Callithrix jacchus: one gene and its partners. The protein of the gene in region 3 interacts with the protein of the main gene of each other region in a pairwise test. Links are inferred from orthologs where the notes say so. Each region holds a gene or a part of one and is shown on either strand. Other genes may lie near its edges.

Evidence for each region.
Region 1: the proteins of RBM17 (region 3) and PPP1R12C interact in binary tests that used the Homo sapiens proteins (3 or more experiments, as listed by UniProt). The two-hybrid records come from large-scale screens. The link is inferred for Callithrix jacchus from reciprocal best matches to the Homo sapiens genes RBM17 and PPP1R12C.
Region 2: the proteins of RBM17 (region 3) and QRICH1 interact in binary tests that used the Homo sapiens proteins (3 or more experiments, as listed by UniProt). The two-hybrid records come from large-scale screens. The link is inferred for Callithrix jacchus from reciprocal best matches to the Homo sapiens genes RBM17 and QRICH1.

What each region holds. Positions count from the first base shown.
Region 1 is NC_133523.1:47,965,890-47,969,538, reverse strand, and holds part of PPP1R12C (protein phosphatase 1 regulatory subunit 12C), read left to right. Parts: intron 1-1,222; coding exon 1,223-1,382; intron 1,383-3,045; coding exon of another isoform or gene 3,046-3,130; intron 3,131-3,649. UniProt on the Homo sapiens protein: Regulates myosin phosphatase activity.
Region 2 is NC_133516.1:31,687,099-31,690,747, forward strand, and holds part of QRICH1 (transcriptional regulator QRICH1), read right to left. Parts: intron 2,585-3,649; coding exon 1,553-2,584; intron 1-1,552. UniProt on the Homo sapiens protein: Transcriptional regulator that acts as a mediator of the integrated stress response (ISR) through transcriptional control of protein homeostasis under conditions of ER stress.
Region 3 is NC_133508.1:7,684,989-7,688,637, forward strand, and holds part of RBM17 (splicing factor 45), read right to left. Parts: intron 3,526-3,649; coding exon 3,469-3,525; intron 2,178-3,468; coding exon 2,036-2,177; intron 1-2,035. UniProt on the Homo sapiens protein: Splice factor that binds to the single-stranded 3'AG at the exon/intron border and promotes its utilization in the second catalytic step. Involved in the regulation of alternative splicing and the utilization of cryptic splice sites.

The DNA of each region.
Region 1 (3,649 bases), on a different chromosome or scaffold from region 3:
GTAACTCACGTGAGGTCAGGAGTTTAAGACCAGCCTGACCAACATGGTGCAACCCCATTTCTACTAAAAATACAAAAATTAGCTGGATGTGATGGTGGGTGCCTGTAGTCCCAGCTACTTGGGAGGCCGAGGCAGGAGAATCGCTTGAACCCTGGGGGTGGAGGTTGCAGTGAAAGTCCATCTAAAAAAAAAAAAAAGTTTATAGTTTGCAAAAGAGTAAGGATCCTCAGTGGCCACCAGTAGATAAGGACTTCCGCCTCAGCAAGGGCACCTGTTTTGATCCAAAGTCAACTTATATTTAATTTTGGCCATTACTTGTCTTTTACATCTATAATACAGTACAGCAACGGGATTAAATGAATCGGACTAGTTAGGAAGCGTGCTTTTCCCAGATTGCTGTAGGTGTTAGCACGTTTGCAAACAGGGATCAAACGCCTGGGTAGGAAAGAAGCTGTTGCCCTAATGGCACAAGTACTTCATGTGGTGGCTTTCGCTTGGTTTATTGTCATGAGTGAGAAAAGTAGTGATGGTAATAAAATGTATGAAGATGCTAGATTGAGATGATATTGGGCAGGCATGGTGGCTCACGCCTGTAATGCCAACACACTTTGGGAGGCTGAGGCGGGTAGACCACCTGAGGTCAGGAGTTTGACCAGCCTGCCCAACCAAAATTGTGGTGCAGCCCTGCCTATACCAAAAATACCAAAATTAGCCGGCCGTGGTGACGTATGTGTGTAATCTCAGCTACTTGGGTGGATCTCTTGAATCTGGGAGGCAGCAGTTGCACTGAGATTGAACCCCTGGACTCCAGGCTGGGTGACAGAGTGAGACTCTGTTTCAAAAAAAAAAAAAAAATTGGTAGTGATAGGAAAAGTTAGATGTAATTGAACACTGGATTTGCTCAGTAAACTTTAGCTTTTTATTAAAAATAATAAAAAGAAGGTGAATTTCTGGTTGAAGTGGAAAAGGCCTGTGATCTCCATTTTCCCTGTGCTTAGTGCTGACTCAGAGACCCTGAGTGGGACCCTGAGTGGGACCCAGGACTGCATGGAGCACAGCTGGGAAACAGCTGGGCGAGTCTAGGCCTCCTGAGTCTCACAGGGGAGCAGGGGGAGAAGGAGTCAGCAAGTCACAGGGCTCAACCCCGGCCAGCCCAGGGTATAACCCTGGGTCTTCCAGGTCATGGGGTGTGAGTCCTACCTAATACCTCTTATCCTCCTAGGTGTGGACGTGGAGGCAGCCAAGCGTGCAGAAGAGGAGTTGCTGCTTCATGACACAAGGTGCTGGCTGAATGGGGGCGCCATGCCAGAGGCCCGGCACCCCCGCACAGGCGCCTCTGCCCTGCACGTGGCCGCTGCCAAGGGCTACATTGAGGTGATGAGGTAAGTTGGGCCTGTCTGTTCCATCCTGCTGTCTTATACCTTCCTGTGGATCTTGTCCCTTTCTTTTTCAATGTATGTACCTAAGGCTATGTATTTCCCTCTAAGTACAGCCTTAGCTGTACCCACAAGTTTTGATGTGGCAATCTTTTTTATTGTCATTCACTGTAAAATATTTCCCAATTTGTAATCTTTTCTTATTTATTTATTTTGAGACGAGGTCTTGGTATGTTGCCCAGGCTGGAGTGCAGTGGTGCAGTTGTGGCTCACTGCAGCCTCCAACTCCCCAGGCTCAGGTGATCTTCCTACCTCAGCCTCCTGAATAGTGGGGGCTACAGGCACACACAAACATGCCCCATTAATTTTTGTAGAGATAGGGTTTTGACATGTTGCCTAGGCTTGTCTAGAACACCTGGGCTGAAGTGATTCACCTACTCCCAAAGTGCTGGGACTGCAGGTGTGAGCCACTGTGCTCGGCATAATTTCCAAATATATAGGACTTCCTTAGTCACCGTTGTGTTACTGTTTTTCTGGCTTAATTACACCATGGTCAGAGAATGGCTTCTATATGATTCTACCTTTTGAAATTTGTTTTATCTTATGCCCCAGTATATGCAATTTGGAAAAGAATGGTGTCATCAAGTACAGTGTTCTCTGTAGGTTATTACATCAACCTTATAATCACGCTGTTTTATCTGTAGTGATATTTTAAATTCTTGCTGTGATTATGGACTTTGCGTGTTTCTTCTTGTAGTTCTGTCAGTTACACTTTGTATATGTATTATTTGGTGCATATATAGTTATTTGTGTTTATTTATTTTTGAGGTGGAGTCTCGCTCTCTGTCACCTAGGTTGGAGTGCAGTGGTGTGATCATAGCTTAATGCAACTTTTGCCCCTTGAGTTCGAGCGATTCTCCTGCCTCAGCCTCCCCAATAGCTGAGACTATGAGAGTACGCCACCAGCCCGGCTAACTTTTCTATTTTTAGTAGAGTCGTGGTTTCTCCACGTTGGCCGGGTTGGTCTTGAACTCCTGACCTCAGGTGATCCACCAGCCTCCGCCTCCCAAAGTGCTGGGACTACAGGCGTGAGCCACTGCGCCCATCCAAGCAGCATACACAGTTTAAATTTTCTTCCATACTCTCTGTGTCAGCCTCACCTCAGTCTCGGGTCTTACTTGCTCCTATTTGGCTGCCTTCCCCTTTCCGTTAAAGTTGTTGGTTCCAGTTCTCATGCTCAGGTTCCTCATTCTTTTATCAGTTCCCTCCTCTCTCTCTCTCTCTCTCTCTTTTTTTTTGAGATGGAGTTTTTGCTGTTGTTACCCAGGCTGGAGTGCAATGGCGTGATCTCAGCTCACCGCAACCACCGCCTCCTGGGTTCAAGCAATTCTGCCTCAGCCTCCGGAGTAGCTGGGATTACAGGCACGCGCCACCGTGCCCAGCTAATTTTTTGTATTTTTAGTAGAGACAGGGTTTCACCATGTTGACCAGGATGGTCTCGATCTCTTGACCTTGTGATACACCTGCCTCGGCTTCCCAAAGTGCTGGGATTACAGGTGTGAGCCACCGCGCCCGGCCTCCCTCCTCTCTCTTTTGTGATCTTACACTTCAGCATAAAAATGAAGTTAACATGAATTCCTCCCCTCTCTGCTCACCTCTGCATTGACAGTTTTTCATCTGGTTGTCTCAGTGAGGTACTTCAGATGCCTGTAACAGCTCCAGGCCGTCCCTTCTGCTTAACACCTGCTGCTGAGGTAGAGTGCCTGGGCCTCTGTGTCTGGCCTGAGTCCCAGCTCTGTTGCTCAGAGGCTGTGTCGGTGCTGTGTCCCTCCCTGAGATGATCCTTACCACAAAAGGACTGGAAATGCTACGTGGTTGGGCCCAGTGACGTGCCCAGGCCTGGAGGCTATGCCCTTTTCCTCCCATGGCTTCCACCCCTCAGTCCTGGGGGGCTGCTTCATCTCCTGCTATTGCACCTGCATCCCAGCCAGCAGGAAGAGGGAGGGCAAAGGGAGCAAACACCCATCGTTCTAAGAGAGCAGTCCTCAAGTGGCACTGCACCACTAACGTCATCACCCTATGTGCCAGATCCTAGTCACGTGACCTCTCCCGGCTGCAAGGGACAGTAGGAGATTGGCCTTCAGCTGGGCGGCCTGTGTCTGGCCGGGGGTGACTGTGTCCAGCTGGTGGCCTGGGTGGGTAGCACTGAAGTACTTTGGACTTAGAAGTATTTGCTGACTGTAATTTCATTACTGCTCCCTTGTAAGGGTGCA
Region 2 (3,649 bases), on a different chromosome or scaffold from region 3:
TTTGTCTTTGTATGTCATAAATATTCTGCCTTATAAATAATTTAAAGGAATAGAAATCAAGTCTGACTTTCACAACTCTTAGCTGTATGAAGCAAAAACTCTTGTCTTGTTCTATTTCTAGGCCCAACAGCTACATATTTAGCAGGTCCTTAATATCACTTAGGATAATAAAATGTTGCCTCTATGAAAACACCTGGTCAACCTTTGCTTAATCACTTAGAGCCCGTGTTTCTAAGTGTAGTCCCTTATCTAACTTGTTTGTGCCAGCTCCCACACATGCATTCCCAGGAGCCTTTGCCCACTGAGGCACACCACCTTCATCAGTCCCATAAGACCAGAGGCCCTATATCCCACTCTAATGGGACCAGATATTCCACCAATTGTTTTTTGTTAGACAAGGTCTCACTCTTTCCTCCAGGCTGAAATGCAGTTGCATGATCATAGCAGCCTCAACCTCCCAGGCTCAATCCTCCCATCTAAGCTGGGACCACAGGTGTATGCCACCACACTCGAGTATATTTTTTAATTTTTTGCAGATAGGGTCTCCCTATATTGCCCAGGCTGATCTCAAACTCTTGGGCTAAAGGAATCCTCCCACCTTAGCCTCCCAAACTGCTGGGATTATAGGCAACTGTCACAGAACCCAGCACTAATAGGTTTTGTTTGTTTTGAGACAGAATCTTGCTCTGTTGCCCCAGGTTAGAGTGCAGTGGTGTGATCTTGGCTCACCTCAACCTTGGCTCATCACAATCTCCCGCCTCCTGGGTTCAAGCAATTCTCCTGCTTCAGCCTCCCGAGTAGCTGGGATTACAGGCATGCACCACCACACCTGGCTAATTTTTATATTTTTAGAAGAGACGGGGTTTGACCATGTTGACCAAGATGGTCTCAAACTCCTGACCTCAGGTGATTTGCCCGCCTCAGCCTCCCAAAGTGCTAGGATTACATGTGTGGCCACTGGGCCTGGCCTGTTTTCAAGTAACACAGTAACACTCTTGGGAGGTCCTACCACATAGGTGGCATATTCAAGATTCCCAACAGTGATCACTTTTAACAGGCTCATTAAGAGGTATTTCAGATTTTCTAATTCACCCACACTGTGTGCCCAAAGATGAAAAACAGAACAATCTCACAGCTTCTCCAATGATGAGTTTGTAATCTATTGATAAACTACAAGTGTTTTGCTAGAACCATTTACTTATGATACAAGGAAGCAGCTCCTGGGACACACTTTGGGTGTCCCATTCATCTATACCTGTAACTTTACTCTTCCTGAGAAAAAATTACAAAGAAGTGTCCATAATACCTAAACCCAAAACCTCTCCAAAACTCCAAAGCAATTCCTGGCCATCTCATTTACCTCTAGGTACCAGGATAAACCTTTTTCCTGTTGTATAGCCTGCTGTTTCTCGCCCTCTTCTCCCAAATATTAAATACTGTATCACTGTAAAACTAATAGCAGTAAAGAAGCCAGAGGTTACCAGGCAAGCTCTGTGCTGCACTGGGCCCTGAGGGAACAGACTGCCTGTCCTCCTGGTAAGTCTTCACTTACTGAACAAGTAACTTGGAGCTGCTGCTGCTGTTGCTGTGGTGGTGGCGTCTGTTCCTGGGGAGTTTGCTGCTGCGGCTGCTGTTGGGGGTCCCATATATGGACAGTTTGAGCCGTATTCTGGTACGTGCCTGCCACAGCCTGCACAGCCACTGGAATGTGGATGTTGCCATTCATGAACTGTGCTGGAAAGAGAGAGTTTGCAAGGGTCTGCACTACCTCTTCATGGGAGTTTTTTACTACAGATGTGGTGCCCACCATCTTCTCCTTGTCATCCTCCAGCTTTACAGCTGCCAGGGCCGTGGGTGAGCCACTGACATGAACTGCGTTGTAGGCTTCCTGGGGAATGGCAATGTGGGTAATGCTCTGCTGCTGAGGGTCCCCCCGGGGCTGGGCAGAATAAACAGGGATGGTCCAGGTTTCTCCTGTAGGGCTAGTAATGGTCCCAGTGGCACTGTACAGGTGGGCACTGTCTACTGTCAGCAAGTCTGGCCTCAAAGACACATAACTCTGCTGCTGGCCCTGTGGAATGGCCAGCACGGTGGCCACCGGCTGCCCTGAGATGGCGTAGGACACAGTGATGGGCATGTCCACTTTGCGCTTCTTCACTGGCTGGAGGACACTGGCTGTGCCAACCCGCCGCTCCCCTTCCCGGGGTGAGCCCTGCTGGGATGGTGGTGGGGAAAGGGCACCCACGGTCTGGATTTGGATCTGCTGACCACCAGCAAGAGACTGGCCAGCCACCAGCTGAGCCTGGATTTGCTGATGTGGGATGTGCTCCTCCGGGATTTCTGCAGCCTGGATCTGCTGGGCCGCTTGCACGTGCTGCACCTGGATCTGAGCTGCTTGCAGCTGCGAGGGACTGGGACTCTGCAGAGACGGGGTCTGAATGGAGGGGGCTGCTGACTGTGGTGCCTGGCCTTGGATCTGCACCTGGACCTGGATGGGTTGCTCAGCAGGCTGGTGAACGGTGAGTTGTGGGGAAAGCTGCTGAGCCGAGACCTGTTGCGGAGACTGCTGTACCTGCACCTGGACCTGTAAGCAACAAGATTCATCAGTGAGTGAACCAGCCATCACTGAAAGTCCAGCACCCAAGGAAAGAAAGAGATCCCACACAACGGCCCTGCACAATGTGAGAAAACACTGGCATATGCAAGGCTTTTGAGGAGGCCACAATATGCAAAACTAAATGCAGAATTATCCAGCATCACATTACAATCACATTGACATATATCCACCACAGAAAGCACAATAATTAACTGGGGTCTAAAAAGGAAATATAAAAACTTTTTTTTTTTTTTTTTTTTTGAGACAGAGTTGCTCTGTTGCATTCAGGCTGGAATGCAGTGGCGTGATCTCAGCTCACTGCAACCTCCACCTCCCGAGTTCTAGCCATTCTCCTGCCTCAAGCCTCCTGTATAGCTGGGATTACAGACATGCTGGGGTCTAATAAGAAAATACGGGCTGGGCACAGTGGCTCATGCCTGTAATCCCAGCACTTTGGGAAGCCAAGGTGGGCAGATCACAAGGTCAGGATCCAGCCTGACCAACATGGTAAAACCCCATCTCTACTGAAAATACAAAAAAGTTAGCTAGGCATGGTGGCTTGTACCTATAATACCAGCTACTCAGGAGGCTGAGGCAGAATGCTTGATCCAGGGAAGCAGAGGTTGCAGTAAGTGGATATCGCGCCGTTGCACTCCAGCCTGGGCAACAGAGTAAGACTCCATCTCGAAAAAAAAACAAAAACAAAAACCAGAAACAAAAATTTGGTTCTGTTTTTTGAGACGGAGTCTTACTCTGTTACATAGGCTGGAGTGGAATAGCGCAGTCTTGGCTCACTGCAACCTCTGCCTCCTAGGTTCAAGTGATTCTCCCACCTCAGCCTCCCGAGTAACTGGGACTGCAGACTCATGCCACACCTGACTAATTTTTTTGTATTTTTAGTAGAAACAGGGTTTCACTATGTTGGATAGGCTGGTCTCAAACTCTCAACTTTGTGATCTGTCCGCCTGGGCCTCCCGAAGTGCTGGGATTACAAACATGAACCACTGTGCCTAGCCTCTTATTTTCTTTGAGATGGACTCTTGCTCTGTTGCC
Region 3 (3,649 bases):
TTGCATTTTTACCTAACAACAACCTCCTTCTGGAGACACTGCATACTCCACAGGGGCTTCCACAAAGTCACGCATTATCTAGGAGTGGGCTATTAGACGGAAGCTGTGGGGATGTGCAGCACAAAAGAAATAGAAAAAGCTATGACTAAAATCCAGAATATCCTGTTATCTTGAAGGAGAAATGCCAGTTTCTCTGGTGGAGTCTACTCAGTGCCCCACTAGGAAACACAAGATCTTTTGTGTGCTCCAGATCTGTACTGCCACATAGTTTATGACCACAGTTTATTAAAAAGTGGCCATCAAAAAATAAGTATGAAGTTTCATATAATGAACACAATTCAATTTTCCTGAATAGCACAGGAGACTTTCTAATGACAGACTATACAAATGAAAAAACCCTTAGAGATCACCTATTTAACAAATGAGAAATAAAGAAACGGAGGCTAAGATTAGCTGACTAGCTTAAGGGGTGGACTACAAGTAAAGCAAGATGCCACACTTCGAAATTATTTGTACAGGCCAGGCACAATGGCTCACGCTTATAATCCCAGCATTTTGAGAAGCCTAGGCAGGTAGATCACCTGAGGTGAGAAGTTCATGACCAGCCTGACCAACACGGTGAAACCTCAGCTCTACTAAAAATGTAAAAATTAACCAGGCATGATGGCATGCACCTGTAATCCCAGCTACTTGGCAGGCTGAGGCTGAAGAATTGCTTGAACCCCGGAGGCAGAGGCTGCAGTGAGCCAAGATCGCACCACTGCACTCAGGGGTGACAGAACAAGACTCCATCTCAAATAATAAAAAAAAAATTATCTGTACAGCTGTTAGCAGAAGAGCTGAAATTAGACTCCACAATTCTCAGGTCACTGCTTTCTCTAACAACCAGATGGCTCTCACACTGCACTGTGAGGTGGTCATGGGTCTGAAGGGCACCCCAACCTCATGACCACTGCTGCTTAGGGCTTAAGCCACAAAACCCGCTTCAACTGGAACTGCACCTACATTACTTCTTGTATTTAATTCCCTTAAAATTTTCATTTGAACAAGCTATTCTAGGGCTAAAAAGACCAAAAACTCCTGAATGGTACCACCTTGCATCTTTCCTAAACACAAGTTAAAGATGTGTTCCTGGTTAAAAGCAAATTCAGCAAAAAGTCAATTTTTATCATAAACAGGAAAAACAAAACCAAAATCAAAACCAGCTTTGTGTCTGTCCAACCCTCCAGCACACAAACCTTCCTGCGGCCATGGCCATGTACTATGTCTGCACCATCCAACATGGTCACCACTTGGATGTGGTCACTGAGCACTTGAAAAGAGACTAGTGAGTTTAAACTACATTCAGCTGTCTCACCGGCTACATTTCTGCTACAGGCAGCATCTGGCAGACACAACACAGCATAGAACAAAGCCTTCGTGTGATGCCGCTTCACAGAACAGCTGCTTCACAGGATCAAAGTCAACAGCACAGAACATCCTCTTAACCAAAATGTTTGCCAAGCCCAGAACGGTTTTAAAAAAAAAAATCCACAAGCCTCACCTGAACATCAATCTTACAGTAAACTTTTATATGGGGGCAAACAAACGTCTACTTGTAGTTAGAATGAACCTGAGTTTTTTAGATCCAAGGTTTAGAACCGTGACCTTAAAGCAGATGGCCCACTTTATCAGGAAAAAAGGTATCACCAACCCTTTTGGAGACACTACGTCAGCTGATTCATATAAGCTAATTTATTTGCAAATGTTATGAAGGCAAATGTAAACAGTTATCAGGTTCTGTGTCTGTCTAGAGATGATCATCAAAATCAAAATGAATCAAACCTTCTACTCGAAGGCTTGTTGTTGTGAACAAGCCCCATCATTACACTGGAACACGCTCCATGTGACTGAGGCAGGCACTGTGTGACCCCACACACCAAGAGTCTCCCACAGCCTGAATGTCCTTAGTTTCAAACAAGTTGCATCTACTGAAAGAGCTGGCAACGCTTCGCACTGTTTCTCAAGTTCTTAGATTAGAACATTAAATCGTTACCCCATGTTAGCGAGGAAGGAGTTGCTAGGCCCAGTTGGAGATCTCGGTCTGTCTTGTTCTTCATACATAGGGGGAGGAATGGCAGCTTTGGAAGACTGTGATCGAGGTCTTGAGTCCTCTTCATAAGGAAAATCTCGGGGTACTATTGGAGCAAAAGTAGGCTCACCAAAATACCATAGAAAACACTTTGAAATCTCACTTCTATCAATTACTTATCTTGAAAAAATTCAACCTATTTTTCTGGTTTACCACAAGGAGAAAAACAACAAATCAACTTTACAGCCTTTACGTGACTTTTTTTTTTTTTTAAAGAAGAGGGAGAACACTACTTTCCTGATTCTAACTTTGCTTTTGCTATTTCTATCTCCTCAAATAGGAGATAGAAATAGCAAAAGCACCCTTTTTATATCTTATTGAAATGTTATTTACCCTTTAAAATCTTGAATGAATATTCTTGTGGCAAGAGCTTCTGAATGGCCCACGGAGATACAATCTGGCCATCTTTTGACTCCCGCAGCACCTTGTGCACCTGTCTAGACCCTAACCTCACTATACCATCAGCCTCATGGCCCACAAAGGTCTCTGAGGTTAGCGGCCAGTGGTGGCATCAACTCTAGTTACATGAAAGTCAGCAAGAAGCTTTAAGACCATCCAGATGCCTGGGCCCCACTCCCAGAGACTGCTTTCAATTGGGGTTTATTGTTTGTCGGTTGTGTTCACATAACAGATATTTCATAATATTTTAGAAAGCATCTTCTTTAAAAGAGAAATAATGCAACAAGTTTTAGAAAGTACTATAAATCAGAGTATCTGCTTGGGATAGTTTAGGTATGGTCCAATCCAGAGAATGGGAAAATGACCTAGATGATATTCAGAAGTCCAATTCCAACCTCAGAATTTTAGAGCAGATCACTGCAAGAAGGAACAGTGGATGAGGGTGTTTTGGCAATGCAATGACAGGGACACCGACCTGCACTGAAAGGGAAGCTAAGGGAAGAAAAAAAATCTAATCAAGGAAGGCACTGCCACCTTGTGGAGGGCCATGAATATAACAGCCTGTAAACCCCTGAGTTCAAAAACTGTAAATGATCTACACTGTTTTAACTCCAAATGAATCTAACAACAAATAAGAAATGTTAATGAAAACAAAGTGAATTGCATAAAAAAGACATGGATCCCACTCTTTTTATCCAGAGCCTGGCATAAAAAGGTCTCTGCAGGAGGGCACTGCATTCTGAGATCCATGTGCACTCAGGTAGGTAGGTAGGTAGGTAGGTAGGTAGGTAGGTAGGTAGGCAGGCAGGCAGGCAGGCAGGCAGCAGGCAGGCCATTTCCGTCTACACTCAGCAAACCTGGGGGCCCAAGCTGAGATTCCACATGATTTGCTTAAAGATCTGTATCAGAATAAAAGAGGAAGAAACAGATCTACTTACACTCTTTGTCTTTCTCTACCAGAGAAGTGGGTGGGGCAATGGCAGCTCCGCCCATACCTGCAAAAACACAAATCCAAGCATTAAAGGAGGTTTCTGATGCCAGACTCCCAACGACAATGACACCATATATCACCTGCCCCTTAGAAAAAACTAAAAAACAAAAAAAGGATGCTACTTCATC